Linked DNA regions of Coturnix japonica. The protein of the gene in region 1 interacts with the protein of each later gene in a biochemical or structural test. Links are inferred from orthologs where the notes say so. Each region holds a gene or a part of one and is shown on either strand. Other genes may lie near its edges.

Region 1 (15,272 bases):
GGCAACCCTAAGGCAGGAGCCTGCATGAGCTCACGCTTTAACTGTTTAAAGGCTCTTCTGCTTTCCCCATCCCAAGTGAGAGTATTGGGGTTAGTTTTTAAAAGTGCAAAGAGTGGTTTTACCAGAAGTCCATAGTTATGGATCCAGGAATGTGCGCAGCTCCTTTGCAGTCCGGGGCTCGGGGGTCTGACAAATGGCTTCCTTCCTCGCTGTTCCCAGCATCCTTAGTCCTGCTGTGATTTCGTAGCCTAAACAGACTACCTGTTGTTCGGCCCCTTGGGATTTCTGCGGGGAGACTCCATACCCATTGAGCCCCAGAAAATTCAGCAGACTTACAGTCCATGTTACACATGCTTCTTCTGTCTCAATAGCTATCAATAGATCATCTACATACTGTAACAAAGCTCCTTTCCCCAAGGGGTGTTCCCATTGCTCCAAATCCTTGGCTAGCTGATTCCCAAAGATATCCAGGCTGTTTTTAAATCCCTGGGGAAGCACTGTCCATGTCAGTTGCATTTTCCTTTGTGATTTGGGGTTTTCCCACTCAAATGCAAATAACAGCTGACTTTCAGGGCTCAGAGGTAAGCAGAAGAATGCATCCTTTAGATCCAGTACGGTAAACCAAGCCAATTCACTAGATAGTTTTGTAAGCAGTGTATATGGGTTTGCTACCAGAGGATACAGATCCTCTACTATTTTATTAGTTGCTCTCAGATCCTGCACTATATGGTAGCTCCTGTCCAGTTTCTTAATCGGGAGTATTGGGGTGTTACATACGTTTAGATTCACATTCCACTAATAACCCATGTCTCATGAATTTATCAATTAATGGTTGTGCTCCCTCTCTATCTTCTATCCTTAGGGGGTATTGTTTAATTCGTGGGGGTTGAGCTCCTTGCTTTATATTAATTACCACAGGAGGGGCGTTTTTTGCACGCCCTGGGGTTTCCGTTGCCCATACCCCTGGATAGACCTGATTACTAATTTCCTCAGGCATCCCTGTATTCCCTGGGGTTGTTATCAATGCCAGACTAAGTACCTCAATTAAAGAATCATCCCTTACTTTAAACCGCATCTTTCCTGCCTCAAATTTTATTTCTGCCCCTAATAATTCTAAGAGATCCCGTCCTAAGAGGTGATGTGGTGAGTCAGGTAGGTATAAAAATCGATGTATCCCTACCTGCTTCCCCAATTTATATTTCAGAGGTTTAAGGAAGTAAAGCCTTTTCGGGTTGACCAGTGGCCCCTTTTACAGTCATAAATTCTTTACTTAATGGAGTTAATTCTTCATTTAGTACTGAGCAGGCTGCACCAGTATCTATTAGAAACTCCACGCTCTGCTGTTTACTCCCTAGCTTTATCTTAACCATTGAATCTGCTAGGGTAGATTCGCCCTAGCAGTCCTTTTCCACCGGGGCTTGGATCTTATTCCATGCCCCCCCTTTTTCTTTCTGTTTTCTCAGCGGGCATTCATTTTTCCAGAGCCCCTTTTTCCTGCAGAGGGCGCACTGGTCCTTCTCCAGGGGCTTCCTCACTTTGTTCATCCCACCCTTTCTTGTTTCTTGCAAAGCTGTCATCAATACCTTTCTGTCCTCTCTATTATCTACCTCCTCCCGATTGCTAAACACTCTCCAAGCCTCCTCTAGCAAACTTTCCAAGTTCCAACTAGCTGGTGCTCTTAGTTTTTGCAGTTTTCTTCTTACATCCCCTGCAGACTGCCCTGTGAACAACGATACGAGCTGCTGTATGCCCTCTTCAGACCTCGGGTCCAGGGAGGTATGTTTTCTCATTACATTCCTCAGCCTTTCAAGGAATTCCGAGGGAGTCTCCTGGGGACCCTGTTTCACTTCAAATAATTTAGACCAGTTCACTGTTCTAGGGATAGCTCTTTCTACTCCCTTTATTACCCATTCTCGGTATCTCTCCAAAAGCTCCCTTCCATGTTTTGTATTTGGGTCCCAGCGAGGATTTTGTAATGGGAAATGGTCTTTAATGTCTTCATTTGTTCCTTGCAAACTGTCCTCAGTGAGGGTTTGTGCTGTTTTTAAGACCAGTTGTTTCTCTGTTTCGGTCAGCTGATCTAACAGCAGCTGAATATCATCCCAGTCCGGATCATGTTGTCTAATTATAAACTGCAAATGTCTCGCTACCTTTAGTGGGTCGTCCCGGTAGTTTTTGCAAATCTCTCTCCAGGATTCTAAGTCAGGTAAAGAAAACGGGACTCTGACTAATATTATTCCACGTGGCCCCACCATCTCCCTCAGCGGGGCTATTACTAACGGCTGTTGCTGTTGCCTCAGGGTCTGTGAGGCTACAGGGGAGGCAGGAGGTGCCGAGGGCGCGGGAGGAACAGGAGGATCAGGGGGCAAAGGAGGGTGCTCAAGAGGAGGCACCTCAGGGGATCTTTCTAGTGGGGCTTCTTCACCTATCGCCCCCGCTGCCCAGGGAGCCTGGAGATATTCCGACAATTCTTCAGGCTCCCTAACCTTGCCTGTCTTTGTGCACTGCTGTCCGATACTACAGGATGAGCAGCAGCGTTTTATTTTACTTTCCCCTGTCTCACACCGCTCTTTCTCCACAGTTAATACAAATGGATCTTGCGGCGGCCCCATCCCACATTCTTTCTGCCACTCGGGATGGTTACGGAGGGTGAAAAACATATCTGCATATGCTGCCTCATCCCATTTACTCTCTCTTCTCAAAAAGAGCATAAGCTGTAACAGTGTGTTATAATTTACAGTTCCATTCAGAGGCCACTTTTCCCCATCCTCCAACTTATACACCAACCACCACTGATTACAGTATTTAATCAGAGTTTTCCGGCTCAGGGTTCCTCTTGATTTCCCAGCAATATCTCGCCAGTGTGCCAGTATACAACCCAGGGGTGTGCGCTCAGGGACCTCTTTTCCCTGTGATCCCCCCATCTTAACTCAATCTATCAAATCTGATGAAACTTTATCACACTTAGACCACAGTACTATCTTACAATAGAGGTAGCACTACCCCGACTTTAGTTGCGGTTTACCTTTTCCCACCCCCTGTATGCACCTTATGATTATGTACTTTACAATGGCAACAAGACAAGAGCAAACACACACTGAAAAACAACGTATATGGCTTTTGCTATGTCCGTCCCCAGCAGTTTCCCTCGTGGGAGGATGGAACCGTGGGTCGGGACTCCGCACTCGCCCCGCAGCTGTTCTGTGTCTCACTCACACCACACTCACTGACATTTCGAACAGAACCGGGGTATATAGCGTTTGTTGAGCTTAACCAGAATTTCAAGAATAACAGTGTTAGCTGTTGACTCAAATCACAGTACTGGTAACCTACAACAGATTGCAGAACCACATACAACACAACGTGCAATACTAGTTATCCCAGCAAGGATTACCCAAACTACCCTTCAGTAAAATGCCCATCCACGCATACAACTTACTGGCCCCTTTGTAGGAACTCACCCAAGGAGTCTTCCTACCCCAGCTGGCAACCAAAGCCATGAGCTCACGTTTCCCGGGGGGAGCTTACATGCTCCTTCACCCCCTGCGCAGGACGTCTCCTCACGACTTACGGGTTCCCCGTTTCACATACCTGGTCCGCTGATGGATGGTCCTTGTCTGTTCCTGCAGAGATCGGATGAGGAAGGGGAGTCCTTCCGAGAAATCTCGGGGCGCGCCAAAGGCGTCCCCCTTCTCAGCTGGTCCTGCAGCCGAACAGAGGAGGTCCCATCTGGGGTGCCAAATTGACTTGCGGAATCAAACTATAGCCTGCTAGGATACAGGGCCGGTATGATTTCATAAAGAGACGCGCACACAGCCCTGGCGCAAGGGGTTAACACTCCAAACTCGCGCACCGTAAAGACAAAGTGTGTTACAGATATAGGCCGAACTAATACATAATCAGTAGTCTCCCCCCACCCCGTGTTTGGTTACATATTCATTACATTCCCCGCGACCCCATTGGTGAATGGGGTCTCTCTCTCCGTCCTCGCTTTGGGATGAAGATTCCCCTCCTGCTGCTGTGAGAGCTCTTGTTTTTATCAGCCTTTGTCCTTGCAGGAGGAGCACCCCCACATCAGTGTCATCTTGCCCTGTGAGTATCTAATCACCTTTCTGCAGGCTGCCTTCGGGCTGCTCTCACACTCCTATCTTTATGGCCTTCTTCCCCTTGTTTTCCCAGACTTAGTGTCTGCAATTCCCCTTTTCTCTGCCCCCCTTAACACAAACTATCTGCAACTACCCTTTGTCTTGGTTTCTGTGAGGTCCCTTCCCCTTTCTGTAGCAAAGTGTTCCCTTTCTTTTATTATGGGGCCCTTTTCACCCTTCACTACAGATGCAGGTTTTCATCACCTTTTTTCAATTCAAATGAACAGTGAATCAGGAAACAGATGCTCTGCTGGAATTCGGAATAAAGGGGGGCTAAAAGGAGGATAGTTAAAGGTAGTTTATAGAAAAATGATTTAGTTAGTTAGGAAAACAAGTAAAGGAAACAAGGGGCCTGGGAGAGCAGGAAGGATGCAGATAAGGAGTGAGACCTCACGGAAGACATCAGGCAAGGAGGAGAGTAGATATTGTAAATACCAGGAGTAGCATCCCCCTGATAAAAACAAGAGGGGGTCTGCATGCTAAAGAACTATTGAATATGTATCAGAATTCCGAGAAATCATTGACTATGTATTAGATGTACCTATATCTGTGTCACGATTTTACAAGTCGGGGTGCAAGTTTGGTGGAGCTATCCCCCTTGCACCCGGCGCTGGAATAAACATACCTGCTTTATAACCCATCTCTGGATTATAGAGTTTTATTCCTCAAGTCAGTTCCACTAAGAGCTTTGTTTAGCCTGCCGGTAGGCTATCAGTGGGTAGTTTCTTATACGTGAATGTGGGTTGCCCTCTAGTGTCCGAAAAAGCTTACTTAGAGCTGCACTGTGAGAACTGTGTCAGTGCAAATATTAATAGGTAAGAAGTACTGAAGCCCACGATAAATTAGTTGTAACAGTCCTGGAACATGGCTATCAGGAAGTGCAAAGGAAAATACACTTCAACTTAGGTAATAACTGGCTTTAGTAATTTCAGATTGACTGAAAATACGTAAAGTGTATCAATCTGGTTTGCTGGAATCTGAAATCGGTGGCTGAGCGATGGTGGATCCAGTTCAGAACCTCAGTGACTTCTTCAGCTTCAGCACGGTGAACATGTTAGCAGTGTGCCCAAGAACAGCCCAGAGAGTGGGAGAGTGTTGTCAGGCTGCCTCCCCCTCTTCCTGCACAAATTCAAGGTTCTGGTATGTGAAGATAGGCATTAAGACCAGAGCGTTGGGTAGTTGCAGTCACCTTTCTACATTTCCACCAGAAAGAAACAGGCTCTTTTAGAACACAGTTTACCTGACCTACTTCAGAAAGCTGTGTTAAAAATTAATCTTATCACCAAGTATGTATTTCTGCCATCTAAGGAAGAACAAGCTTCAGTGTCACTTACTTTTACGCTGTTACCAATGGTAAGCAAAAAGTCAGTGTGATTTTGTTCCTGTCTTGCTGTTCATTCATTCTCAAGTGAAATGCCTGGCATTACCTCTAATGTCAAAGTACAGAGTATACTTGTGCATAAATTAGGTTCAATAATGTTAAAATCAAAGCCACAGAAATTCCAAAAAGGGGGGTTGATTGGTGATGGCTCTGCAAAAACCAAACCAAACCCAAGAACCCACCTTACCTGTTCAGTGTTTGTAACACTGTGAGATGTTAAACAAAAAGCACAAACCCTGCCACTCTGAGGTGACCGAATAAATAACAGGTACTGAGGTAGGAAAAAAAGAAAAAATAGCCAAGTAAAGCATTATTAATAAATGAAGTCTATTTATTATTTCAAGTGTTAATGGTAAAAAAAAGTCAGCACAGCTGTCGCATTTAAAAAAGTGAAACTACATTAAGTACTATGCTTCTAGTTCAGTAAACAGATGAACCCGATGTCCTTTAATGACATAATAGTTGAGCATTATACAGTACATCTTATGAAGACCCGTAAATTAAAGAACTACTTTTTAAATTTAGTGATTATAAAATTTCCGCATTCACAGCTTTAGCTTCTTTTTTCTTCCACGACCATCAGGAGTGCCGTCCATTTTGCGCTTCTGTGCCTGGAAGGGAAGTTTTTCGAGTAAGTTAATGTGACAGAAAAAGATCCATAAGCACGTTTTGAGCCAAAACAGATGGAGGTGGTTTAACCCGGGCAGCTTTAGAAATGTGATAAATCACAAATGCAATGTGGCAGACATACACATCCCACTCCGGATAGCAGCTGTCTTATATTCTAACAGTTCTAGAAGGGCATAATTTCATAGAGGAAAGAAATGTTTAGAAACAAGTAAGGATGTTATAAAGCTTCCTTACTTATAGAATAATAGCTCTAGGCACCACTTCTATGGGCCATTTTAAGCAACAATTTTAACAACAAAATCCAGGCAAGAAAACAGGTGATTACTTCTTTTACAAAAAAAGACCTGTGTGTTTAGCAGTACTTTGGAGTACTTACTATATCAAGCACATGCACTTGATTTCCCAAATCTAGATCTTGGAGCCTCTACACAAAGAGAGTGAAGGCAGGCTCTAATGTCTAATTTGTTAACACACCTGTAGCATTCTCAAAGTGAACTGAATGGTTTGCACCGCCTGCCTGCATATCCTGCTTTGGGAAACATCTATTTTGTTATGGGTAAAAATTAATGGAAAGGCTAAATAAATCCCAAGTTTATTTTATAAAGGTAAACTCATACGGTCTACCAACTCAGCCATCAAAAAACAAGGCAACCTTAGCTGTTCCAGGTGCAGTTTAGAACCTGTACTTTATTTCCCATCCACTAAGGGTAATAGCTGAGTAACCGTGTGAACTTTAAGCAGCTCTTAGCACTACCCTATAAGGCTTTTTGTTAGATGCTATTTTAAAGGAATTTTAGATATCACTTTGCCCATACAATTAGAAAAACCAACTGTCTTCAAATAAGTGGTTCACAAAAAATAAAGCACAACCAAAAGCAAACCAGCATCTTATTAAATCTTACCGAAGATGGTTTTGGTCCACGTTTCTTCTTTTCTGCCTTTTCCTTTTCTTCCAGTTCCATGTTCTCTCTTTCAATCAGGGTGATTAAAGTATTGCATCTCCTTTGTAGCTCCTAAATCACAATACAGTCACTCACTACTTTAAACAGCCACTCAGTGTAAACAGCATCATGTCAGAACACTACAAATACCTCTAAATTGTATGTTGTTTGTATTTCATGCAAATCCTTGGGAGCAGAAAAAGGAATTAAATACTTTATGACAGTCATTATCTGGCTTCACGGGAACGGGTTTGATCACTGACGCTGGCTTTTAAATCAAATCTATTTTAATTCAAGTTCATGTTTATTGTGAAACACAGCCGTGACTTGAAATGTGAATTTCATCTCCCATGAGAGTTGTAAGATTACTGCATTTACCATCTTAAAATCATTGAAAAGTCTATAAAAATTGACTATACTGTATGTATGCACACACCTGCTGCATAACTGTGGTGTGTTGGTGCGGGTGTTCACAGGGAAGAAGCACATGAGATTAATACATACCATTGCAGTTCTAGACTTGAGAAACCAGTCAAATCTGAACTGGGGGGAGTTTCGGATACACTGTCTTAACTCATCATAGACGTTTTCTTTATCAAATCCAAGCTTGTGAAGCATACAGATTAAAAAGCGATCTTCCTCTTCAGTGTAATTCTTCCCTTTGTTAGTACCATACGATATTCTCAGCTGGTGGAAAGGGGCTTTGTATCTGCCAATCTAAGTGAAACAAGTAAAATATACACACTAAGAAATCGTGTAGAATTAGCATAGAATTGTTTTCTATAAAAGCAAAATAATCACGACAGGCAATGATTTGCAGAAACAAACTCTATAGCCTGTTAGGATATAAAGCAAGTATGTTTAATAAAGAGATGTGCACACAGCCCTAGCGCAAGGGGTTAACACTCCAAACTTGCGCCCCGTAAGGAGAAAAGCGCATTACAGATATAGGTCAAACTAATACATAATCAATAGTCTCCTCCCCAGTTTGGTTACATATTCATTACATTCCCTGTGACCCCATTCCCTTTGCCGTTGTTTGGGTGAAATTCTTCTTCTGTTTACCTTTGATGTTATCTGTTGTTCTTGCTGTTCTTGCTGTTACTGCCCTCACACATTGGCATCTTCCCTGGTTTTCTTTAGACTAAGTGTCTGTAATTCCCCCTGACTCTGCCCTTTTAATGTAAACTATCTGCAGTTACCCTTTGTCTTGGTTTCTGTGAAGTCCCCCTTTCCCTTTCTATAGCGAAGTGTTACCTTTTCCTTTATTCTGGGGTTTTCCTCACTCTTCAGCAGATGAACAGTACCATGTTAGAAAACTAGATTTCTAACATCACCACACCGTAGACTTTCTAGACATTGAATTTATTAATATTATCTAAACAAGCAGTTTAAGAAAAGTTTGTTTGATAACTGCATGCTGCAGAACGGACACTACATGTGAAAACTGTCGAAATCTGCCAGTCTGGCTGCGATTCTTTTTGATCAGGATGGTCAAAATCACAGGAAAAGTAAGGTATGTGGCTCAGCTGAACCTGAGGTTATCATCACAGCTAACAGCCAAAACAGGAACTTTTAACCCACCTAAAGCATTTAAATTCAGAAGTAGAAACTGCAAAGGAACTGTGCTTCTACAGAAAAGGAAAAGGTAACAACCACTGAGGAATATGTGAAAGACAGCAATATGGTGCCCAACAATGTCATCTTAAAGTCCTAATAACATAGGTAACATGGGTAGAGATAGAGCACACCTTACTGGCACATGGAAATAAGGGCAGCAAGAAATACAGCACAGATACCTTTGTGTCAAGTGCTTTTTTTATGCTGATTCGTCTCTGAATTCTGGCTTCTCCTCTTTCTATCTGAGCCATGATCTTCTCTATGTCTTGGAGTTCGTTGCACCTTTCCCAGAACACAGCTAAGAGAAGAAAAACTGGTTAGATCCTTTTCATGGCATTAGGTGTTAGCCTTAATAGACAGCAGATGTTATTCCATTTTACCAGAGCTCACTGCTGTATAAAAAAGGTCGTGCCTTTACCTGATAGCTAACTTCGGTGCCTGAAATTGTGTTGCAGTATTGCAAATACTAATTTGAAGACGGTAGATTTAGGAACCTCCATTTTAAAGGAGGTGTGACATAGGCCAAAAGTCTAATCTTGTTAGCTAATCTTCTCAAAGCAAGAAAAAAAAGTCTTAGAAGTCTTAAAATTGGAAGTGACAAAATAGCAGTACAGCTTTAGGGAAGGAAATGGAGAGACAGTGTAAGTAAGTAGCCAAAGACAGGAACAAGTGTCTAAAAGTCAAGTAGCTGTTTAAAAAAAAGAATGTCACATCATTATGATGTGCAAAAGAATGTACACCAGCAGCAGTATACCAGTAGTTGCTGAACCTTGCAGCTGCACTCCACAGAAGGCATTTCTCTGACAGGCCAGGGCTAAGGGGCCAACTGGTCCTCAGTCACAAAACCAGTGGTTGTTATTCAGTCACAATATTTACATGCTCTTATGCTTTAACAATGGGATGTTCATATTAAAGGTATAATGATTTGAGACTGCTATTGTTTGGTGAAAATAAATCTCTCCACCACAACACTTTTTGCTTAGTAATGCCTTCTGTAAAACTTAGTAAGAATTGCAACCAGCGCTATCCAATTAGAATATATTAAAGGATGTCAGTAACTGCTTGTGTGCAAGTCTCAGTACAGCTTTAACTATGCAGGGGCTAAACCTGCTGAAATCTGTATCAGTAGAGCTCAACTCCATCAGTACAATTCAGCGAGAGACTTAAAAGAGCCCCAGAAGTAAGGTGGTCAGCATGTTCACAGGCATTTTAAACTAGGAAAGCAGCATTAGATACAGAGTAGACTGCGCTTGAAAAATAAGTTACCTGAATACTCAATTACTTCCTCTGGGGTTTTTCCTTCTACTTCTCGTGCTATATTTTCAATATCATCACGGCCCCACTTCTCATTAGCTTTGATGAACTGGTTAAAATCCCTCTTATTCCAGTTGGTAAATCCCTTTGCAGCAATTAAAAGCAAACATTGCAAAGTTCAGGATTTGTCCATCTCCACATTTGTTTTAACAGAATTTTTTTTAAATGTTCATATAAAGCAGTAAAACAAATCAAGCTTTAGATGATGTCAGTGTCATTAAAGAAACAACCATACCTGGGTTAGAAGCTTCTCTTTTTCTTCTAGTTCTTCGTCATTAAGAGGTTCAGCCTCATCAATCTTAAGCTGCTCTTCCTTTTGCGCTTGGGCTGCATTTGGAAGATCAGGATTACGAGGTACCTGAAAGGTTTTACATTTAGTAAAATTTGATGACTTTTCACAGACGCTAGCAGCCTCTCCGTTAATACAGCCTAATCATCTGTTCAGCTTCATGTGAAAGGCAGGACAAGTATGTATAACCCTACTAATGTATTGATGCAAGGAGTGAATGTTATTACCTTGTATCCAATTGTTTTCCTGTAGTAGAGAATCTCTTTTTCCAGTAGTTCAAAGAGCCGTGGAGGAAAGAACTGAAAGTCCTGTACATTTGGCTGTTTTGGAGGCCGTGGTGCCTGAAATACATAAAATGACTCTATTTGTCTCCTGTTCACAGCCAGAATTTGAGCTTAGTTTGTGAGCAAAAAAACCCTTTATTTTTGCCAAAACATACTGTCTTTACTTATACGAAGGTCACATTAAAACACCATGCAAGTGTCCACTACAACATGAGGACTTCTGCAAGTAAAAAGGTGACAAGAGAAGACAGGGGAAGAGATTGGTGGAAAAAGACTCACACGTGCACCAAATAAGCATACAGTCCATAGGTAAAGAAAAACAACTGCCACTTAAAAAGCAAAGTCAAGTCTTCACCCTCCTGAACTCTTACATTACAGGTTTCATCACTCTCTTGCTCTTTCCCCATATAAAATTCTCAAATCCTTTGAATTTTTCTAAAATTTAACCCTCTAAGTGCCACCCCAATTTATGAAAGCAAACAGAGTGATATTAATAAATTAAGGCCAATTTCTTGCTTTCAGCTTTAACTTCCCACATCTATCTGATCAATTTATTTTTAATATTAGTCAACTCACCTTGGGAGCTTTTGGCTCACTGACTCGCAGAGCCTCTCTAAAGTAAGCGTCCACAGCATAATTGGCTTTCCTTTCTCGTTTAGGGGGCTCAATCCACTCTGTAAATGCCATCTGTAAATAATAATAATAGTAATAAATAAATAAAATCCTACTACCCCCAAGAATTATCAAGACTAAGTCCTATATAATATTCAGTCCAGCTATTAATTTTATATAAAATGAAGAGCACATCTACTTTATTAAATAATTTAAATTCAAAGTTGTTTATGTAGTTCTCTTGTATTTTAACCAACACATTTTAAAGTATGGCACAATCTTGCAGATCACTGCTTTCCTCCGAAGGAAACATGAAGGTTACCTTCTGTTTTTCTCTGTAGTCCTCCCCTTCAAAATTATATACGCTGGATTCTGTATCCATTGTGAAATTCCTGAGTGAACTTTCACCCATCTTAGAGAGTTTTTCATTCATTTCTGCAGTCTGGGGGCAGGGGAGAGAGAAAAGAATATTAACAATTTAGAAAAGTGCTTTCAAAAAGTTACAAAAACTCAGTTGCAACAGTAGGAAAAAAAAAAAAAAAAAAAACCAATATAAAACTTCTAAGAACAACCATATTTTTCTCCAGCTTATAATAAAGCTGTCAGCCAGCAATATATGCCTAACATCTAAGTTTACAGGGAAGTGCCTTTCTTTGCTTTTAATACTTCATTTATCTCACCTTTTTTGCACCTCTTTCCAAAATGTGATCTATATCTTCATCTGTAATCTCACTCTCCTTGGAGGCAAACACGTGTGTCGCTCCATGTCTGATCATCTGCAGCATTTCATCCTTCCCAAGTTTATTCAAATTTTGATCCACCAGTCTTCCTAAGAGAAAAGCATTGGAAGGTAACAACATAAGGAGGAACAATAGAAGACTTCCCCCTTCCCTTAGCCTTAAATTGAAAATGCATCTCATGCAGGGAAATTCCATGTGGGAAAAATAAATAAATAAATAAAAAGCCAGCAAAATCTACCCAGGAATGACATACATTTTGTTTCACAGTACATTAGTTGCATTTGAACCATTTTGGCTGTTCTGGTGCATGGTTTTTTTTTGGTTGATGGTGTTTTGTCTTTTTTTTTTTTTTTTTTTTTTTACAATTTCAAGACAAAACCTTGTTGAATAATCTTTCCATTATAGCCTATGTATGAGGTTATATCCTCACCACTTCTCCCTGCATATTAAATAAAACCAAGGTCTTACTTCTTCCATTTCAACACTAATTTTCTTAAACAGAATAATTTAAAAAAATGACATCTGTCTATATCCACTTTATTTCTGGGCAAGTAATCAAAAAGTTAATGAGGAGAAGCCTACCCCTGTTGTAAGTTTTCAAATGGATCAGGTCTTTGCACTCCATCTTCAGAGTACAGCTGGGGCAAAAGCAACATTCCCATTAACATTCACTTGATTTCACTTCTTTAATTGTTGAAAACAAACAAAACAAAAAACTCATCCTGTGTACAAACTTAACTAATTGCCCCCATATACTTGCCTTGCTGAATGACTATGGAATCAAGGCGGAGCTTCATCTCTGCACGCTCCACTATCCTTTCTTCCACTGTATTGTCTGTGATAAATCTGAACACTCTTACGGTCTTTGTTTGACCAATTCTGTGAGCTCGATCCTACACAAAATAACATAACAAAAACTTAATGCTTTAACCCAAATATATAATTACCATCAATTTAGTTAGTTTCAATATACTAGTTTGTAACACAGAATAGTGTAGGCTAGTTGCAGCTTTATAGCAGTCCAAGTAGCATGAGTACCCAAGATAGCATGTGTTGTGGTTCTGTGATTTTTGGTATCAGCATTCCACATTAGAACATCATGCAGAACCGTGGCAGCTAAAGAGTTCATGTTCTGGGTCTCCAGAGCGGAGCCCAGCCACTCTCTGCCTCTGGCCATCTCAGCTTACCGCAGAGAAAAGCACATACTTTCCCTCGCACTGTCCTGGTTCGACTCTTACTTTGGGTACTCTTGTCTCTCTCATTTGGTTGGACAACACTGTTCTTTGCATTTCAAGTTGGTGTTGTTTTTTTTCTTTCTTTCTTTTTTAAAGTAATCCCAATAATAACGAAGTCTGTAAACACAATTTTCCTCAAAATAGCCCGGGGTTCTTTTGGTTAAATACCAAAGGGGAAGATTGGATATTTCTGGCATTAAGCAACCTCCTGTAAAACCAGAGTACCTTAGCAATTGTCTCTGTACTGACCAAGAGCTACCTTTCTAAAAACCATTCAGTCCTTCTATGAGTATTTGAATAAAAAAATACAATGCAACCTCACCTGACTGGCAAATCATTAACCACTACAAGAATTAGTATTCCAAACATACACCTTTAGTGGTAATTTGAACTACATCACTTTGGCTTTCAGGCATTGTTTTCATCATTCTCTTAAACTATTTTTGCTAGAACACTTGAGAACATACAATCGTCACTGAAAGACTTCATTTGCCAATTAACATTTGTAGGTTTTAAATACCAACTTTCTTTCTTTAGCCATCATGAACATTCTTTGTCAATGTCCGGAGATGCATAAAAATTTACTTCAAAGAAAATTACAGCAAATTAAAGTTGGTTGCCAACAGGAGCTTGCACGTTTATTAGCAGCCAGAAGCAATTTCTGAAAACTCTAATTCAGGTTTTTATTCACCTCTTTTCTAAGGTTTCAGTGGAGACAGTGAAAGTACATTGAACTTGACTCCTCAGAGAAGGACGGTTTATAGTTGGGAAATTAAGACATGCCATTAGTTTAGTTTTTAGTGAAAGCAGTCCTCTTTTACTTTACTTTTAAACACTACTAGGAGTATCATGGCCCTTCCCCCCACTTGAATCACTGCATAGCCCAAATGTGACTAAGCTGCACTGGAACTGAATACTAAGTCTTCAAAATACTACTTCTATGCTAAAACAGGAGAAAGATCACTTCAACCTTAAAAATGCCACCACTGTATAACACACACATTTATAAGAAAGTTACATGAGGAAAAAAGAACATTTGTATCTGGGTTCTTACCATAGCCTGAAGATCTACTTGTGGATTCCAGTCTGAATCATACAGAATTACAACATCAGCAGTAGCCAAATTGATTCCAAGACCTCCTGCCCGTGTACTCAACATGAAGACAAATTTTGAGCTACCAGGTTCATTATACGCATTAATAGAAGCCTGAATAAAGAGAACATTATCATCAGTTGCACTAAATGTTTTATAAATGCTGTTTTTGTGTAAGAGAAATACTTATATACCTGTCTTTCGTCGTGAGGCGTTTGTCCGTCCAGTCTACAGTATTCATAATTTCGCCACATGCAATAATCTTCCAAGATATCCAGAACTCTGGTCATCTGGCTGAAGATTAAGACTCGTGAACCTGTTTGGGATAAAAAGCCTTTATGTTTTCTCCAAAGCTTAAGCTTCATCAAACACTCCAAGTTGCCAAATTAGAAAGGGAAGGAGAGCAGTTGCATATACCATGAACAACAGTAGTTATAATTAAAAGTCTGATTTAAAAAGTTTTCAGTACTATACATACACATAAAATAGAATATGTTGAAAATATGCTATTTTACTGAGCAGCTATAAGAACGTGAAAGAATTAGCAATCCAGTGTGACTTCAAACCCTTCTGTATATTACAGAATGCAGAGCTGCAGAAGTTGCTATCAAGTACTGCAAAGAATTCCCAATGCTTTAAACACAATTATTCTTTAAATACAGTGCATATTCACTGTTCAAATGACATCTAAATAGGATGACAGAGACACAGCTGTGGTGATCTGCATCTTCCACCTGAATATTCGTTGGATACTAAACACAAATGACTTTTATGTTATCTAAGGCTGAGGTTTGGATTTTCTGTTTTTCAGCAATGTCTCCCCAGTCACAAGTTTTCCTCTGCTTCTTTGGTGACTTAACAGTAATATACTCCATAGCTTTGTCCCTGGTAAAACTTAAAAAATTAAAATTAAAAAAAAAAACAAAATAGCTGACGTGTTCCTCCATGTTTGTCTTGAGGAATCCATTGAAAAAACTCATATGCCGTA
Region 2 (16,689 bases), on another chromosome or scaffold:
GATCCCAGTTGTACCCACCTTCAGCTGCCTCATGTTTGCGATGTCCTGGCCCTCACACGCTGCACTCTGACCTCCCAGTACTGGTTCTTAAGGAAAAAGAAAGAAGGCACATCAATCCAACAGCACACAGCTCCTGACAGCAGCTCTCCCCCACCACCACATCCACACACCATAAATAACATCATTATGTGTTAGGGAACATCATCTCTGGGCTGGGGCTGCCCCACATGATGACAGCTGTGAGGAGGGCTGCACATCTGGGGGGACATTACTCCCTCACCCTGCTGTCCCCCAACACATCCTCCCAGGACGCCCACTGACCATAGCATCTAATGTGAAGACACAGACTCCTTAGGGCTGGTGGCTGCACCACACCACAGCAGGAATAGACATGAGTTTAGCACCCCTCCCACACCATGCCAACCTTCGCAGGCTGTTCTGGAGGGTGACGCACCTCTGATCTTCTTCAGCCGCCGTGCAGCCACCTTCAAGTGCTTGGTCCTGCCCAGATCCTCCCCAAGGAGGTAATACCAGCCACTGATCTCCTGCATGGGGGGAAAGAAGCTCTCAGTGTAGGGGCAGGTACTCCATCCCATTTAACTCTGTCTGATGTGTCAGCACCTGCTCTGGGCTGTCCAGGGATAAAATCTCCATAACTGCCAATGGCTAAGATGGAAGCTTTCAATGTGTCAGTGGATCAGCAGACGTCATTCACAGCGGCAGCTTTGCAGCCTCCTTTAGAAAGGCAAAGCCAGCGATGTGAGAGCTGTATTACCCAGCAGCAGCCAGGCCGGGGCAGCAGCAGGGACAGACCTGCAGCAGCTGGGACACAGCGTGGCACAGAGGCACCTTGCAGCACCGCTGCTACCGGGAACATTCTCAGATGTGAACACCCCTATATTTTCTATATTTCTCCCTATATATACAACTTCAAAGTCCTTTTACCCCTTGATGCAAATAGCCAGCTGCTCCTTGCTCCTGCCCTGAAGGTGCACTGCATCCACCTGCTCAACCCACTCCCACACACAGCACTCCAGATGGAGGTACCTTGTCCAGGGTCAGGAGGGACTTCACACCAAAGCTCATGCACCCAATCAGTTTGCTCTGCCTGCAAGAGAGTCAGAGACCATCAGTGAGCAATACCTGGAACCTCCCCCAAGGACCATTGCCACCATTGCCACCAAGCAGCAGCATAGTAGACAGAGGATGTCAAGGGCCGTGTCTCCTCTCCAGCAGTCTGCATGTAGAGCAGCCTGAATTCCCCATGCGCAGCAGACTTGTTGTCAGGTCCTGCTCTCAAGGAGCTCACATGGCGTGGCCAGAGCAGAGGGCAGATGTACTGCAGTGACAGCTCTGTCCTAAAAAGATCAAAATGCAATGTAGAAGCCCCATACCTGCAATCTCTCTCTTGATTCCAGACAGTGACCAGGAGACGTTTCTGCTCATCCTCCTCTTGTACTAGGCTGCAAGAAGCAGAAGGGGAGCCCATGAGCATTCTGCCCAGCAGAGCCCAGCACAGGGACCCACACCTCCTTGATACCAGGTATTCTCCACTCCCTGCACAGGCCCTGCAGCATCACCCCAGCTGGTGTTCCTCCATCAAGGCACTGCTGCACTGATGTACTCATTCCTGACAAACTGCAGCACAGGGATGTGAATTCCCCTAGTGCTCCAGGTGCTGACAACACTGCCCCAATGCTTTAAGGAGGTATCATGCAAAAGGACAACATCCAAAATCAATAGACAAATACAAGGAATAAGGAATTGTGCAAGCTATGAAGCAAACATTCTGACCCAGATTAAATATTACATGAAGATGGAGGCCTGACAGACATGTTTGCTAGCAGTGAGGAGCTGTACTGAAATATTCCATGCCATAGAGCTCCTTTCCCATGCAGAGACATGCTGGATCAACCGGAAATCCTTTTACCTTTCTCCTCCATACCGGTGCCAACACTACTGCAAGCGCAAGGAAATTGAGTGTGATTTCTCAACTCCTGCCCAGCAAGAGTGTCCAACTATGCGGGAACACCACTGCCACATCGTGTGCTGACAGCTTTATGAGCTCTGCCCAAAAGTTCAAGACATTTCAGCTATAAAAAACAGCAGAATAATGCCTGTCACTCTTCATCTCAGCAGCAGAGCAGTTCATGCGTGATGCATGTTTATTACGGATCATAATGTAAAAGCAAACACATCATCTCAGCTTCCAGAGGGTGCCCCAGGACAACAACAACTGTTTCCCCACTGCTCTGTGGGAGCTGGGGGATGAGCCGTAGCCATCCCTGCTCCATTGTACTCACAAGACAAAGTGCTCGTGGAAGACTGGGTTTTTGCTGTCTGGCACAGTCTTTGTTTTCTGTCTGCACTTCCAGTCGGCATCTGGCACAATTGACATCTGCATGGGGAAGCAAGCAGCTCATCAGCCATCTCAAAGTAACACTCAGCACCAGTACAGGAGAGCAGCACAGCCACTGTTACAGGTGGCTGAGCCTCAAAGGTCTGGCTGAGCCCATGCTCACAGGTAGCTTAGATCACTTTACATTATGTATGTCAAACAGCCACGTTACAAAACTCCTTAGAGGGTGGTGGAAGGAAAAAAGCACAATATCAGGGACTGGTGCATGAAAATGGTGCTGGTCAGTCTCTGACTTGCAGCCTGTTCGCTGAGGAGATGCTCGTTGCACTGCACACACCACAGGACAGCCAGGGCACTGCTCCTTTGGTTGCCCAGTGGGCTGCTCTCACCCCTGAATGCCTCTCATAGCCCATCTCAGCAGTTCTCCTTTGCTCTTCTGGCTCTGTGCAGGCATCATATCAACAAAGCCATCATCCCAGCCATGAGACCAGCAACCTCCCCACATGCTGCTCAGCCAGGGTAGGGTAGAGGAGCCCAAGAAGGAAACAGAAGGGATCATGCTTAGAAGAGTCAACACCAAAGCCCCAACAGAGCAGGAAGAACCCACCTTCACATAGGAGTTGCACGGCCGGTGCTCTGTCCCCATCAGACCTTTTGCTTCCATGACTAGAAAGGAAACAAAGCAGTCAGGCCCCAGAGCGTCAGCAAAGCAACTCTGCACCTCCCTCCCTGCAGGACCCCGCACACCTCCCTAGAAGCTCAGCCTTAAACAGGGGAGGGGTTCTGCCATATTTTGTCTTTACAACAACCCTGTTACAAATTCTGGAATTTGTGGGTGAGGTTGGCAGCAGATGCAATGCAGCGCTCAGATGGCAAACAGCATTTCATCTGCTTGACTTGCCTCTGCACTGTGCTCTCAGCCCTGGAGCCAAATGTATCATCAAGTAAAATATCCACGGCCACATCCTGATAGCAGCCCCGCTAACAGGGTCCCAGCTTCGTCCCAGTGCTAACAACAGGGGACACTGTGCTTCCTAAGTGGGAGCTGGAGGCAATATCTGTTTTGCAGAGCCCAGATAATGCAGGACGGGCTGCCAGAGTGAGACCGAGTTCACTCCTAACATGTAGAGAAAGGCAGCAGTGCCTCTGCCTTTGTCAGAGCAGGATGCATGGCCATAACAAGGGAGGTCACCCTGACAGAAACTGTGGTGCACGAGATAGGGCCTCTACAGCACTAAACCAAAGCACTGCTCTACTGATGGAGCTGCTCCCAACAGCCACCACAATGCTGTCCCCTGGATCTGGAGGAGGGAATGGCAGTGCTGTACATATGGAATGTGCCCATGGCTCTGGGGCCACCTCTCCACACACCGTAGGGCAATCAATGCTCACCATGCAGCATCAGGGAGCGGTCCCGCATCTCGATAGACAGCTTCAGCTGACCTGGGAGAAAAGAGAGGAGAGAGAATGAGGAGGTAGGACCCTCATGCTGTCACCAGTGTTCACAGCACCAGACCAGAGCTCTGCGGGGTTCAGACCAGGGTGATGTGGCTCAACCTGAGCATCCTGCTGGGAACCGCTCCCAGGATGAGCCCCACAGGCAGATCCAGACTCACACTTGTGTGCCTAGGACAGCATCAGCTGAAACCCTGGGGGACCCACACTGGCCTCTGAATCCAGACAGCTTCCTGCAGAGACAAGATGGGCGCATTCTTTCCAAAATACACACAGAGGAGCATCCCAAAGACACAGGTACAGCACCCACAGCTGAACACCACATCACCCACTGCCCACCGTGCACACAGATGATGGCAGAGCCAAGAATAAAACCCAGTTCTTACATGTCTATAAACCCAACCTGAAGCTTCTGCTGCCTTTCAAAACTCCCATGTCAGAACCCCAGGCTCCCACTGCTTATCTGGAGCTGCAATTTGTGATTGTTGGCACTGCCCAGACCTGTCTGCAGGCAGCTGATTCCCAGCATTGAACTCCAAGCAGTCACAGAGTATGGGGTTGAGGCTTTGCCATGCCAGCAAAGTGATTCTCCCATTCCCATGCATGAGCAACTCCACATTAACCCTGAAATCCAGCTCCAGTGCTCGGACTGGCACAAAATCTCACACAATGAGGTGTGGAATGTGAGATTCCCAATGAACAACACCCCAGGGAGCTGCTGCCAGCCTGGATGTGATGTGCAGAGTTTAGGGGGTCTCACATTCACATAATTGTTCCGAATCAACTCAAAACCAAAAGTCAAACAGATGGAAAATATCACTGGCAAAACATCTTCTTCAGTCCAAAGCAAAACAGCCCATTTACACTCTTTTCCTGGCATTCAAAGAAACAACAAACTAACTGGTAAACATCACTCATGCACATATAAACATCATTTCAATTACAAAACAGCATTTCATTCGGTCATAGACGCACCCAAGATCTTGCTTTTGCAGGGGTGGGGATATCTCAAGGGTTTAACCTGAAACAATTCACTGAACTCACACCTCACCTTCTACTCAACAAAAACCACCATTGACAGAACACTGTCAGATCTCTCTCCAACTCATGTGCTTGAGTGCTCAGCCATGTGCACTTGTGTACATACACATGTGAATCTAAGGCAAGAAAGACAATTCAGGCCTTCCTCCAGGTGGGTAAATGGATGCATCTTTTTAATCTCACACCAATTTATGACACTGAGAATCTCGAGCCACCAAAGCCTTCAGAGCCAAGACTGAACCCTCTGCAATCTGCAGGTCTCTGGCCCCGTGGGAACCAACTTGCTGCTCCTCTATTAGCATTTAACAGTCACTACAGCACAAAATGCCCATCTAACCAAGCATGACCAGGAGTCAGCCCGGTAATGAATGGATGCTGGGGAGGAGAAAGGAAGCCTTTGTGCCTTGTAGTGCGTGGGGAGGGGGGGCAGCTCGTATGCCCAGCGACATCTCCCCACGGATGGTGGGCCCGTGAAAACAAGTGGGCTGCCAAGACTATAGGATATCCCAAATTGAAAGGGATCCATATAAGGATCACCCAAGCTCATGGCTTACCGAAGGTGGTGAGGCAGAAGGAAGCTCCCAGGGGCTCAGCCCGGCGGGTGCAGAGCGAGACCCTGTGCACATTGCCGGGCTCCATGGCAGGACAGCTCTAATTAGCAGCAATTGCAGCCCTCCCCGTCAGGACAAGGGAAGCTGAATGAATTGCAGCCCGGACGGACGGGCTGCTCAGCAGTGGCGTTTCCAAGGGACACGCTTCAACCGCTGCGTTTGCACAGCGCGGCTCCCATTGGATCCCAGGATTTGAATGGAGGCCGCACCTGTCTGAGCAAACAGGGCCCAGCCCGCAGCGCACCCAGCAGTGCAGCAGTGCACCCAGCAGAGCACCCAGCAGTGCAGCAGTGCAGCCAGCAGTGCAGCCAGAAGTGCACCCAGCAGAACAGCCAGCAGAGCACCCAGCAGTGCATCCAGCAGTGCACCCAGCAGAACAGCCAGCAGAGCACCCAGCAGTGCATCCAGCAGTGCACCCAGCAGTGCAGCAGTGCATCCAGCAGTGCACCCAGCAGAGCACCCAGCAGTGCACCCAGCAGTGCAGCCAGCAGTGCACCCAGCAGAGCACCCAGCAGTGCACCCAGCAGAGCACCCAGCAGTGCACCCAGCAGTGCAGCCAGCAGTGCAGCCAGCAGAGCACCCAGCAGCTCCAGGCGCTGTGCTGCAGCTCACCAGTCACAGAAAGTGAGAAAAAAATACAAAGCAACTGCAAGAATCATCTTTCTATCAACACACACTGACTGCAAAGTGCCCCAGAGACATTTCCAGCAGCACAGAACAGCACACATGTACACGTGTCCCTGTCTTGTGCTCCCTTTCAATGTTTGGCCACTTTTATCAGCTCAGAAGTGACCAAAAAAGACAAGCTGGTCAGGGCCAAGCCCACCTGCTGTTCCCTTTGTCCCATCCCTTACCTTTCCCCTTCACTCGTGCAGGACTGATCTTCCTCCTCCTGCCCAGCATTGCTCCCTGGCTCTGGCAGCAGGCTCGCACTGCCCTGCATTGCACCTCTGGCAGCCCCCACATCCGAGGGCTGTGATTCAGCTGCTTGGTACTACTGTAAAATAAGGGGAGAAAAAGGAGTGGAAATGTCCGAAGAAAGCAGGGCTTCAGCACTTGGAAGTCAAGAATGTGCACGGGGAAAAGGTGGGAGCTGTGATGAATGCTGTGGCTCCGCTCCCTACAGGCTCCCAAAGGCACTTTAGCAGCTCCTTCCCTCCTAACATTCAAACCCCTGGAGTCTGACCTTCACCTGCTTTTCTACCAGAGTTTCCAGCAAACTGCACACTCAGCTGCTTGGCTTGGGGAGTTAATGGCTTTCTTTTAAAGTTTAACACTGTTCTCCGTCACAGATTTCAGTTTGCCAGCACCGGGCTCTGCCTTTGGCTGGGTATTCAAATCCAAACACGTGCTTAGACAGCTTTGAGAGGCTAAAGGGTACCACAGGCACACAGAAAACCTCCAAGGTTACAGCTGGCTTTGAAAATCAAGCAGCTAAATCACATTGGGGAGAACTACCCGCCTCCCCAGGCAACAGATTTTTAGGAACAGAAAGGCTGTTTCTGGGATTAGCAGAGTCTGCCATTAAGGGCAGACACAAAACCTCAGCACTTCTCAGCAATGGGATTGTTTAGGGCCTATGTCTGAAACCCTTCTGCAGGGGCGTCACATGGAGCAAAGCATTAAGTTGAACAGGCTTAAAAAGTTATCACCCGTCACATGAGCTGAGCTGTGTGCGGACTGAAACCATGCTCACACCGAATGGCTGAGCTGACCCCATGCAACTGGGCATCACTTTCTGCTGCCACACCAGTTTGGCCCTGGAAAAATAGGTCTATCTGAGCTGCAACGCAAACAGAAGCGAGATTCATAGCGAAACAAATGCAGGCAAACAGTCTGAAAGGCAAATCAGAGGTTACCCTACAGGTTTCCTTTTCAAAAGTAAAGTGAATTAACGTTCCAAAGTGAATTAACAAAGTTAGCATTAACGTAATAATTGGTGCACACAGCTGAAAATAGCTCCTTAACCTGAACACGTAATTTGTCCAAGTGTCTTTCTTTGGGCAGACAGGGACATGTACTCAATCAGTAGAATTTTTGGATGGCAGTTTTTTGTAGTCAAACCTACTGAATTAGTTTATGGTGAAAGAGGATCCGAGAGAGATCTTAAAGACAGAACAACTGAATTGTTAGACCTTCATCAGAGATAATTTAACCTCACCAGACTTGAGGTCAGGAGACAATTGGGCAAGAGACATCTGCATGCTGTGTGCTGAGCTGGGAACCAGGCTCCTTGCAGTGGCTATTTGTTCTCTAGGGGGATGTATCTTTGGGGGGAAAGGGACTATTCCAGACATTAGAATTAAGTTTCAGGATAAAAACTTAATAATACTTAACAATTTAGAAGATACCATTTGAGGGGGAGGGAAATAAAAGCAATGCTATCTTATTTTCTTCCAAAAATACAAAACAAAGAAATAAAGCACACAGAGCAGCCAGGAACAGTCTCTAAAACAAACCTAAGCCAGTGAAAACACGCTCCTGTGACAACATCCCGCATCACTGAAGTGACTCTGATTCGAGCTGTGTCCTGCTTTCAGCTCTGTGAACATTCACACTCTTCCTGTTTTTCAAGCCAGCACTAATAAAGCCAACAGGACCTGCCCTCGACTCTGGCACTGAGCACCTTGCAGACCTCCCTGACTTGTGCTCACTCATAACTTGCTCTGAGAAGTGGTTTACGGTGGACCCTGGTAGAACTGATGTGGAAGAAGAGGTGTGAATGGGCTCACAAGCCTGCAAGGGCTGAGAATACAGCTTGGCATTACTCCCTGGCCTTTATTTGGGAGCAGAGGAGCTTTGTCTGTCCCTGGCTCTGGACCAACATCATCTCTGCTTCTATTCCAGCCCACCCCCACTGCACAATAACACAAGTTTGCCTTGCTTTGTTCTTAGGTTATGCATATAGGAAATAACCTCGCCTTCTGGCAAAACAGAGATCAACTTCTGATGGCTTTGCTAACAGCGAGCCGCCAGCTGGTCCAGAAGCGGGCATTAGCAGCGTGTGTTACAGTTACAAATGGACCAGCTACAATCGGTCATTATTTCATTAAAAAGTAATGCAACACCTGCTACAGCACTTCACCCCTGAGAGCCGCCGAATGACCCTGCAGAAGAATTGTTAACAGAAGAATACATTGAAGAGTTAGAAACGAGATTTGAGAGCGGTTTGTGTGCGCAACGATAGGCTTTGATTAACACAATTACTGTAAGTGGGAAAGCAATCAGCGCTGTCACGCACACAGTCCTTCCTCCAGCTCTGACCTTTGTGTGTCCGTAATGCTGTGCAGCACCACAACACGTTACTGTGTCCAATACGAGCTGTAAGTCCAGCTATTAATACATCTCACAACTGCTGTGCATCATCCCCAATGCTGCTCCTGCTGCTGGAAAATGCATGTAGGAAAGCCTGCACTGCCAGATCCTGCTCCCAACCTGAAGTTAGCTTAAAAAGTTAAAAGTTAGCTTAAAAACCTGAAGTTGGGAGCAGGATCTGGCAGTGCAGGCTTTCCTACATGCATTTTCCAGCAGCGGGAGCAACCAACCCAGCACAGCACTGGGTCAACCTTCTTCTTTAGCAATAGGGATTAGTGACCAATCTATTGGTTCAGCAAAAGGAATCCATGGGCTGGAAACGTTCAGCTTTAGTGAGGCTGAGCTTATCAAGGCTTTATGAGCAATGGGGGTCTCCTGAGCTGGGGGCAGTGGATGGCAGCGGGTCAGAGCCCTCAATGGTGGGCACTGGGAGCACTGAGCACACAAAGGGCCATCAATCAGCTCATGTTTATGGGAGAAAGATGGATGTGGATGCTGATGTACTGCGTGGTGTGTCCTGTCAAGTCACATTCTATGTGTGGTGAGGAATAACGGAGTGCTGCTTTGTTCCACCACATCACAGTTCGTTTTCTTTCCAGAGGCCGAATGAGCCATATTGGCCCCCCGCCGCCATATTGTTCCCCCCCCCAACGGCGGCCGCGGGGCAGGGCGGGAAGGAGCGGTGCATTGTGGGCCGTGGCGGCGCGGGAGGCCCAATATGGCGGAGAGACCGGAGGACCTGAACCTGCCCAACGCCGTCATCACCCGCATCATCAAGGAGGCGGTGGGTGCGGGACGGGCTGCGGGGCTGGGCCATACGGAGACCTCGCTGTCCCTCATAGATCCTCGTTGTGGGGTTGTGCTGCTCGTAATGCCTTACCTGAGGGCCGTGCTGAGCTCAGTGCCACAGCAGAACCGATATGTGCTCGGAGCAGCAGCTGACAGGCCTGGGTTTGGTTTCCAGCATCAGTTCACGGGTCTTTATTTGCTTTAAAGCATCAGTTCACAGCTCTTTATTTGCTTCCCAGCAGCGATTAACGGGTCTTTATTTGCTTCCCAGCTGCCCGACGGGGTGAACATCTCCAAAGAAGCCCGCAGTGCGATATCCCGAGCAGCGAGTGTGTTCGTGCTCTATGCGACCTCATGGTAAGAGCTTGTTGTGTGTATAAGCTGCTGTTAGTAACTCAGATCTCTGCTGGTTGGGCTGGGGCTCGTTGCTGGGTGTGCATCCATCGTGTATTTTTGTGGCCCCCCTCTGGACACGTTTAGAACTGTAATAAAGAAGAGTGAATGATGGCAGTTATCCATTAACTCTTCTTGTTTTTGAGCAGTGCGAATAACTTTGCCATGAAGGGGAAGAGGAAGACGCTGAATGCTGGCGATGTGCTCTCTGCCATGGAGGAAATGGAGTTCCAGCGGTTTATTGCTCCTCTGAAGGAATCCCTGGAAGGTATCGGCCTGTGACCCTATGGACGGAGCTGCCATAGCACCAAGTTCTGTTTGCTTACATCAGACAAGCAGCACTTAATTGTCTGTCCTGTAAAAACAAGACTTTGCAAAAAAGCAAGAGTTTGCAAATACTTCTTTGCTTGGCATCTTACACTGCAGCTTGTGTGGATGTTAATAATGTGCACCTTAACAGCTGGGATAACATTTCACCACTGATGAGAACTGAGAAAGTCTTATCTGCTATCAGTCCCCTCTTAGGTCTGTGTAAGGGAAGTCGTAGGTGTTGCCTGCACATGTGAAATCCTGTGTCCTATTCAGCATTTATCTGCTGAAACTTCACCTGATTTCTCACGGGCTGGACAGCACAGCTCTAATAATAGGGGGAGCTGCTGCTGTGAGTTCATTAAGTGGACACTGGGCCCCAGCTGCTGTAGTGCTCACGTGGTGGAAACACCGGCTTGCAGGTTTTCACTCTTCTTTTTCTTTGTAGTTTACAGACGTGAACAGAAGGGAAAGAAAGAAGCGAGAAAAGATAAAGACAAGAAGGCAGACTCAGAGGAACAAGATAAGAGCCGAGAAGATGATAATGATGATGATGATGAAAGGATGGAGGAAGAAGAGCAAAATGATGAGGAAGAGGTGGACAACTGAGCTTGCCAATGGGACATTCAGGGTTGGGTTTTGTTACTAGGGATATAAATGTTGTAAAGAAATCTGGCCATGTCCCGTCTGGTTTCCAGTAGAGCTCTGTACTGTTCTTCTGGAATCTCTCTTTGGCTTTAGCCTGTACACAAAGGACTTGGCTAAAGCATTTCTCATGGGTGCCTCACCTCCCTGCACGCAGGGGACTTGGCAGCTTCCCCAGGTGCTGAACAGACAGTAATGGGTCTGGTATTTTTATGCTGGATTGACTCTGAAACAAAGGGAAAAAAGAGCAATGTCGGATGGCTCAGCACTGAAGTGACCTGGAGAACCTGAAAGAGCTTATGAATAAGCTCACTCAACCAAGCGGAGAGCTGAATCCTGGCTCATTAACCCCTCAGGGTTTAGAGTCTACGTGATGATGTTGAGAGCCTTAGAAGCTGACTGTTCAAGCTCTAAGTGATGTTTTTCCCTTCGTTGTCTTGCATTCTGGCTGTGCCTTCTCTCCCCTGCTCTTTCACAGTGATGCTCTTTCAGCCTCACCAGCTGGATGCAGCACACAGTACGAGGGTCAGTGAGCTGAATTCCTCCCCTCCATGAACCAGAATAATAACAAAAAAAGACTTGAAGGTGCTTCCAAAGTGAATCTATACCAGAAATGCTGTTTTGTGTCTTTCAAGCCCTTGGAGACAAAGAGGGAACTTTGATGAACGACCTTAAGCAAAGCTACCTGCAAAATTATGTCCGAGGAACAGCAAAAGGCTGCAGCAAGTGTGTGTTGTGCTGCAGCTGATGGTCTCAGCTCCTTCCCCTCCTCTGTGGAGCTGCAGCTCCTGCAGACAGGCTGCTGGGTGCTGCTGGGTGCTGCATTACTGGTTTCCTTCTATGTCTGGGGGCTTTATTCCATGTTATTGAGCTTTCTGGTACCTGTTGGGGTGTATCCCGTCCCGGACCAGGATTTAAATAAAAGTTCAGATTCTTTACGGGTCTTGACTGGTTGATTTCCATGGTTAATCCATGAGCTGTTCGTGGTGTGAGTGCGTTGCGGTTCAGGTCACACAGCGCCCACGAGCCAAATTCCCGCCACCGGGAGCGCGCCAAGACAAGCGCGCGCCAGCCCTTTCCCGCGCTCCGCCGCGCGAGACTTGTGATATGCAAATCAGGGGGGCGGGGCTATGCAAATCTGGCTGTGTGCTGCGGCGGGAAGCGGCGGCAGGTGAGCGCGGGGTCGCGGGTCTGAGCGCGGTTCGGCCGGTGCTGCGGGGTTATTGCGGGGAGTCGGGCGACACCGCACCGAGAGCGGCCCGCAGTGCCCGGATCGGCACGGAGCGTTACGGGGCCGGGAGGTGTCCATAGGGCCCGGCCCGTTGTGGCGGTGCTGCTCGGCCCCGGGGGCTCCGTCACCCACGGGCTCGGCGCAACCGCAGCGCCGCCGGGCGGGGGAGACGGTCGGGCGGGTGTCGGGGTGTGCGGGGCCCAGGGCGGCATCAAGGACGGACAGACCTTGGATAGAGCCGGGTTGTGCCCTTGGGACCGGGCGGGCACCGGGGGTTCGGTAACGGCGTGTGGCTGTGACGGGCCGGGGGGAGCTGAGGGAAAGATGTGTCTGGTTTGAGGTCCGAAGGGAAGAACACGTGGGGAAGGCACCGAGCAGAGAGTGCTGCCAACTGCTGTCACTGCATGTGTGAGCACAGCGCTTCCACATCCTATCTGCAAGATAAAACCCTTCTGAACACGTTGCCCTTTGTTGCTGACTGCTAATTAACCCGCCCTCATTAGTGTAGCTCCGTTGTGTCTCCTGGGAGCTCAGCTTTGTGCTTCAGCTGTGGGCGATGCCCCCCATTCCCTCCTTGCTGCCCTTAGAGCAGTGGCAGCATGGAGCAGCTTCCCCTATGGGGGCCCAGGGGCGGGGGTCCCCCAGCAGCGCTGTTATCTCCTCTGGACAAGCCGTCCCCGCTCCTGCAGTGCAGGCTGGGGCTGGTATCTGCCCCTGACAGCGCAGTGGGAGCTGCTGCCTCTGCTCCCAGCCATCCCCCTCCGTGGGATCAGAGCCTGGAGCATGTTCTGGACTCTCGAGGTGTCTGTGCTCACTGAGCCCTTTGTTCTGCTGCCTGGAGCTGCGCCCGGGCACTGCCGGCCTCCCAAGGGCTCTGCTGTGTGGGCATGGAGCGGGTCTGGGCCAGGACACAGCCTGTGTGTTCCACACTGTGAGCATCATCATGGTGCTTTATGGTCCTTTTATGTCATTGTGTAAGTAAGGGAGAGGTTGCTCCATCCCCAAGCCAGGGATGCACACAGCTTGGTTCAAGTGGGAGAGTCTGGTGCAGCTGAACAACTTGGCTCCGTGTTGGGATATTTGAAGGGTCTTTGAGCTTCTCCCAGTGTAACACATAGGAACGCCTCCAATTAACGTTTCCCGGAGGAATGGAGCCATGTCCTGCCCAGCTCTGCTGCTGAGCGTTGTGGTGAGGGCAAAGGGAGCGTGGTTTGGGTGAGCCAGGGCTTTGCTGTTGTGAAATGTACATGTAAATTGCCCAGTCACAAGACTATTAGTGAGGTGTGGAAGAAGAAAATACTGTTACGGGCACGTCCTGTGGCTGCGCAGGGCGGTGTGCAGCCTGCAGCTGATGTTAGCAGAGCAGGAATGGCATTTACTGGGTTATGGGGCGGAAGCTCCTGCTTCATCCCTGCAGCCTGGGAAGCAAATGCTCTGGGGAATGCAGTGCAGCTCCCAGCCGTCCAAGCAGAGCAGCATGTGGGGCCATCACGTTCTTTTTTCCCCATCTCACAGTCACCAGTTGAGCAGCAGCTGCGATTCCCAGTGAGCAGGGCTCGTTTCCTGTTCATCTCAGGCTGGTAACCTCCAGGGCAAGGATTTGATCTAGACATAAAGCAATAAAAGTCCTTCAGTGGCAGCCAGCCCCTGACCTCCTGCTTTTGTTCCTTCTGTTTCAGGGTCTCTCTTCACCACCTCCCTGTGCATTCCCAGGATGCAGGCAGATTCACTCCTTCACAGTGGCTATTTCCACCCCGTGCTGCGCTCGTGGCAGTGCACAGCCACCACCTTCAATGCCTCCAACCTTATCTACCCCATCTTTGTCACGTGAGTGAGCCCTGGTGCTCTGGACTGGGGACAGACCAAGCTGGGGTTGGCTGGGCATAACACTACAGGACAAGTGTGGGGCAGGGGCTGTGCTCTGGGCCCTGCCCATCTCCCTTCTGACACCAAGTGCTCACATCTCTGTCCCATCTGCCCTCTGCAGTGACAGCCCTGATGCGGTGGAGCCCATTGCCAGCCTCCCTGGACAAGCCAGGTAAGGGCCAGAGCCACCAGGAGCTGCTTTGCAGCCAGAGATGTGCACAAGACAGGGACAACACTCCTGTATTGTTGTACATAATCCCTGCCCTGGGGATCCCCCCAGCATCAAGCAGGGTGGAAACATCCCTCTGCTCAAAGCAGGAAGGAGGACAAAATGGGGGAGCTGGGTGGTGCCAGGGTTCCATTGGGCACACAGAGAAGCTGGAAGAGAACAGGGAGGCCAACAGCAACTGCATGTGGACTCCTGTCCTGCATTCAGCCTTGCATGCTACGTTTGCAAGGTTTGGACAGAGGCCAGAGTGGGATGTTCCCAGGGGCAGGGTGTGCTGGGCAGGTTTTCCACGTCAGCCATTGCTGTTGGGCAGTGGGAGGTGGGTCAGTGTGAGAAGGGCTCCTGGAGCTTGGTGAAGGCACACAGGACTTTGTTGCTCCCAGCTCCTGATCTGCTGGTCCTGGGCACTCAGCCATGGTTGTGCAAGCAGAGTGAATAAAGCAGAGCCTGCACTCTGTGCTGTGCCAGGCATGGTGTCCAGCACCCTGCGTGCTCTACTGAGCCCAGGCCTGGCATGCTGAGGGCTGTAATGGGAAAGCTGAGATAAAGGATCCAAGGGCAGGGCACGCTCATCCTTTCAGAGCAGAGACAGCGTAAGGCTCCCTGCTCTGTCCCTGCCTGTAGATAACTGTGCTGTTGCCCCAGATAAGGGTCTGGATTGTTCCTTCCAGCAGCACCTCCCCTGTATCTCCCACTGCTGCTTGGTGTGCGCCAGCATCCAACTTAATCATTAACTCGGGTCCATCCCTGAGTGTCCCAGCAGGCAGGGCCTGGCCAGCACTGGTGCACTGCTCAGGTCAGAGGGCTGCGTGCTGGCACTGCGTGTACTCATGGTATATTTGCTGGATCACAAAGTTGCTGGTCTCAAAGCAGAACAGACTGAGGGTACTCAAGTTGTTGCTTTATGCTGCTGAGCATCCCTGCCCCTGTACAGCCCCCTCTGCCTTGTGGCAGTGATGCAGGGTGTCCAGGTCAGCCTTAATCATGGCTCCTGTCCAGTTCATCCCCCAGGGCAGGTCTGGGTGCCTGGCAGCACACCTTCACTTTGGTTTTCTCAGGTATGGAGTCAACAAGCTGGAGGGGATGCTGCAGCCCCTTGTTGAGGATGGTCTGAAGTGTGTGCTCATCTTCGGGGTGCCCAGCAAGGTCCCCAAGGTCAGTGTGCATGAGCAGGTGGTGGCAGGGGTCTGCAGAGCTGTGGGGGATCACTGTGGGGCTGGAGGGTCTCCCAGTGAAACAGGGGCAGTTTGGGGTTGTGGCAGCCCATTCCGCAGAGCAGGATGTAGATGGGAAACCACAGCAACACCCAGAATGATCCCAATAGGTTTGGGTGCCTCTGCTATATTTCTCTGTGTGAGTGGTGAGATGAGAGCAGAGAGCTCTGCGTTTCATAGAGCAGCATGGAAGCTTGAGAAGTGCTGCTCCTCCTGACCCAGTCTTGCGCTGGGAGCCATTGCAGAGAGGCCCCAAGATCTGCACTCATTTCAGTGTCACTGCTCTGTCACCCTTTTCCACCACTGGTGATCACACCTCACTGCAGTGTGACAGTGTGTTCAGGAACACTCCCTGTGTTGACCTGTGGCCATGGAGGAGCTGGTGGGAGGCCCTCAGCTCTGTGTGCTCAGACATGTTTCTTCTTGCAGGACGAAAGAGGCTCTGCTGCAGATGCAGAAGACACACCTGCCATCCAGGCCATCAGGAAGATCTCTGCCACGTTCCCACAGCTGCTCATTGCCTGTGATGTCTGCTTGTGTCCTTACACCTCCCACGGGCACTGCGGTGAGCACGTATGGGGGGCTGGGGTGCTGTTCAGGCACCTTCCTCTTACCTGGAGCACCTGAGGGTTTCTGCTTTCTCATGTGGATTTCTGGGTGCTGGTGGGGCCTGGCCAGCACCTGCCTCAAGACTTCCCAGCACTGTGTTGAGCTTGGATCCCCCGTCACTGTCATCCTTTTCCTGGAGCACTCACATGTCAAGTCCCATCTGTGGGCACTGCATTGTTAGTCTCCTGCTCAGCCCCTCTTTATCCAGCTCTAACACCTTCCCCACTGTTGCTCTGAGCATCTCTATAGCTTGTTAAAGAACTCCAAGGATCAGGGCCATCATCTCACTGTTCTGCTTCTTGCCTGACGCACTTTTTCTTCCAGGCATCCTGCGGGAAGATGGCACCATCCAGAATGAGGCCAGTTGCCAGCGGCTAGCAGAAGTGGCACTGGCTTATGCCCAAGCAGGTGAGCAATGCCTCGCAGCAGCAGCCACACAAGGCTCTTGTCACTTATAGCCAGCCCAAAAGCAAATACCTGGCTTCAATGGGAGGGCTTCCACTGATCTGGGGAAGCATCCACCTGCCAACCCTGGAGGAGCTACGGAGACTCTGGACACCTTCAACAGTACGAGGGAGATGCCCAGGGTCAGCTCCTCCTGCAGGCAGTTACAGCCTTGAGCT

What was found.
Region 2: the proteins of SMARCA5 (region 1) and POLE3 form a complex in vitro, tested with the Homo sapiens proteins (2 studies listed by BioGRID). The link is inferred for Coturnix japonica from reciprocal best matches to the Homo sapiens genes SMARCA5 and POLE3.

The regions. Positions count from the first base shown.
Region 1 is NC_029519.1:26,884,195-26,899,466, reverse strand, and holds the end of SMARCA5 (SWI/SNF-related matrix-associated actin-dependent regulator of chromatin subfamily A member 5), read right to left. Parts: intron 14,601-15,272; coding exon 14,479-14,600; intron 14,399-14,478; coding exon 14,246-14,398; intron 12,850-14,245; coding exon 12,717-12,849; intron 12,046-12,716; coding exon 11,897-12,045; intron 11,659-11,896; coding exon 11,539-11,658; intron 11,292-11,538; coding exon 11,181-11,291; intron 10,662-11,180; coding exon 10,548-10,661; intron 10,390-10,547; coding exon 10,267-10,389; intron 10,117-10,266; coding exon 9,984-10,116; intron 9,016-9,983; coding exon 8,897-9,015; intron 7,815-8,896; coding exon 7,602-7,814; intron 7,170-7,601; coding exon 7,059-7,169; intron 6,138-7,058; coding exon 6,072-6,137; 3' UTR 5,837-6,071; downstream 1-5,836. Other genes in the region: NCR3LG1 (natural cytotoxicity triggering receptor 3 ligand 1), read right to left, coding at 1,395-2,924. UniProt on the Homo sapiens protein: ATPase that possesses intrinsic ATP-dependent nucleosome-remodeling activity.
Region 2 is NC_029532.1:781,172-797,860, forward strand, and holds POLE3 (DNA polymerase epsilon subunit 3), read left to right. Parts: upstream 1-9,429; 5' UTR 9,430-9,499; coding exon 9,500-9,565; intron 9,566-9,640; exon of another isoform or gene 9,641-9,701; coding exon of another isoform or gene 9,702-9,758; exon of another isoform or gene 9,759-9,775; intron 9,776-9,841; coding exon 9,842-9,927; intron 9,928-10,112; coding exon 10,113-10,231; intron 10,232-10,720; coding exon 10,721-10,881; 3' UTR 10,882-11,858; downstream 11,859-16,689. Other genes in the region: RGS3 (regulator of G-protein signaling 3), read right to left, coding at 19-86, 425-545, 1,048-1,108, 1,395-1,463, 2,304-2,398, 2,967-3,025, 3,752-3,802, 6,321-6,432; ALAD (delta-aminolevulinic acid dehydratase), read left to right, coding at 12,025-12,088, 13,828-13,975, 14,136-14,186, 15,302-15,398, 15,887-16,022, 16,391-16,474. UniProt on the Homo sapiens protein: Accessory component of the DNA polymerase epsilon complex. Participates in DNA repair and in chromosomal DNA replication.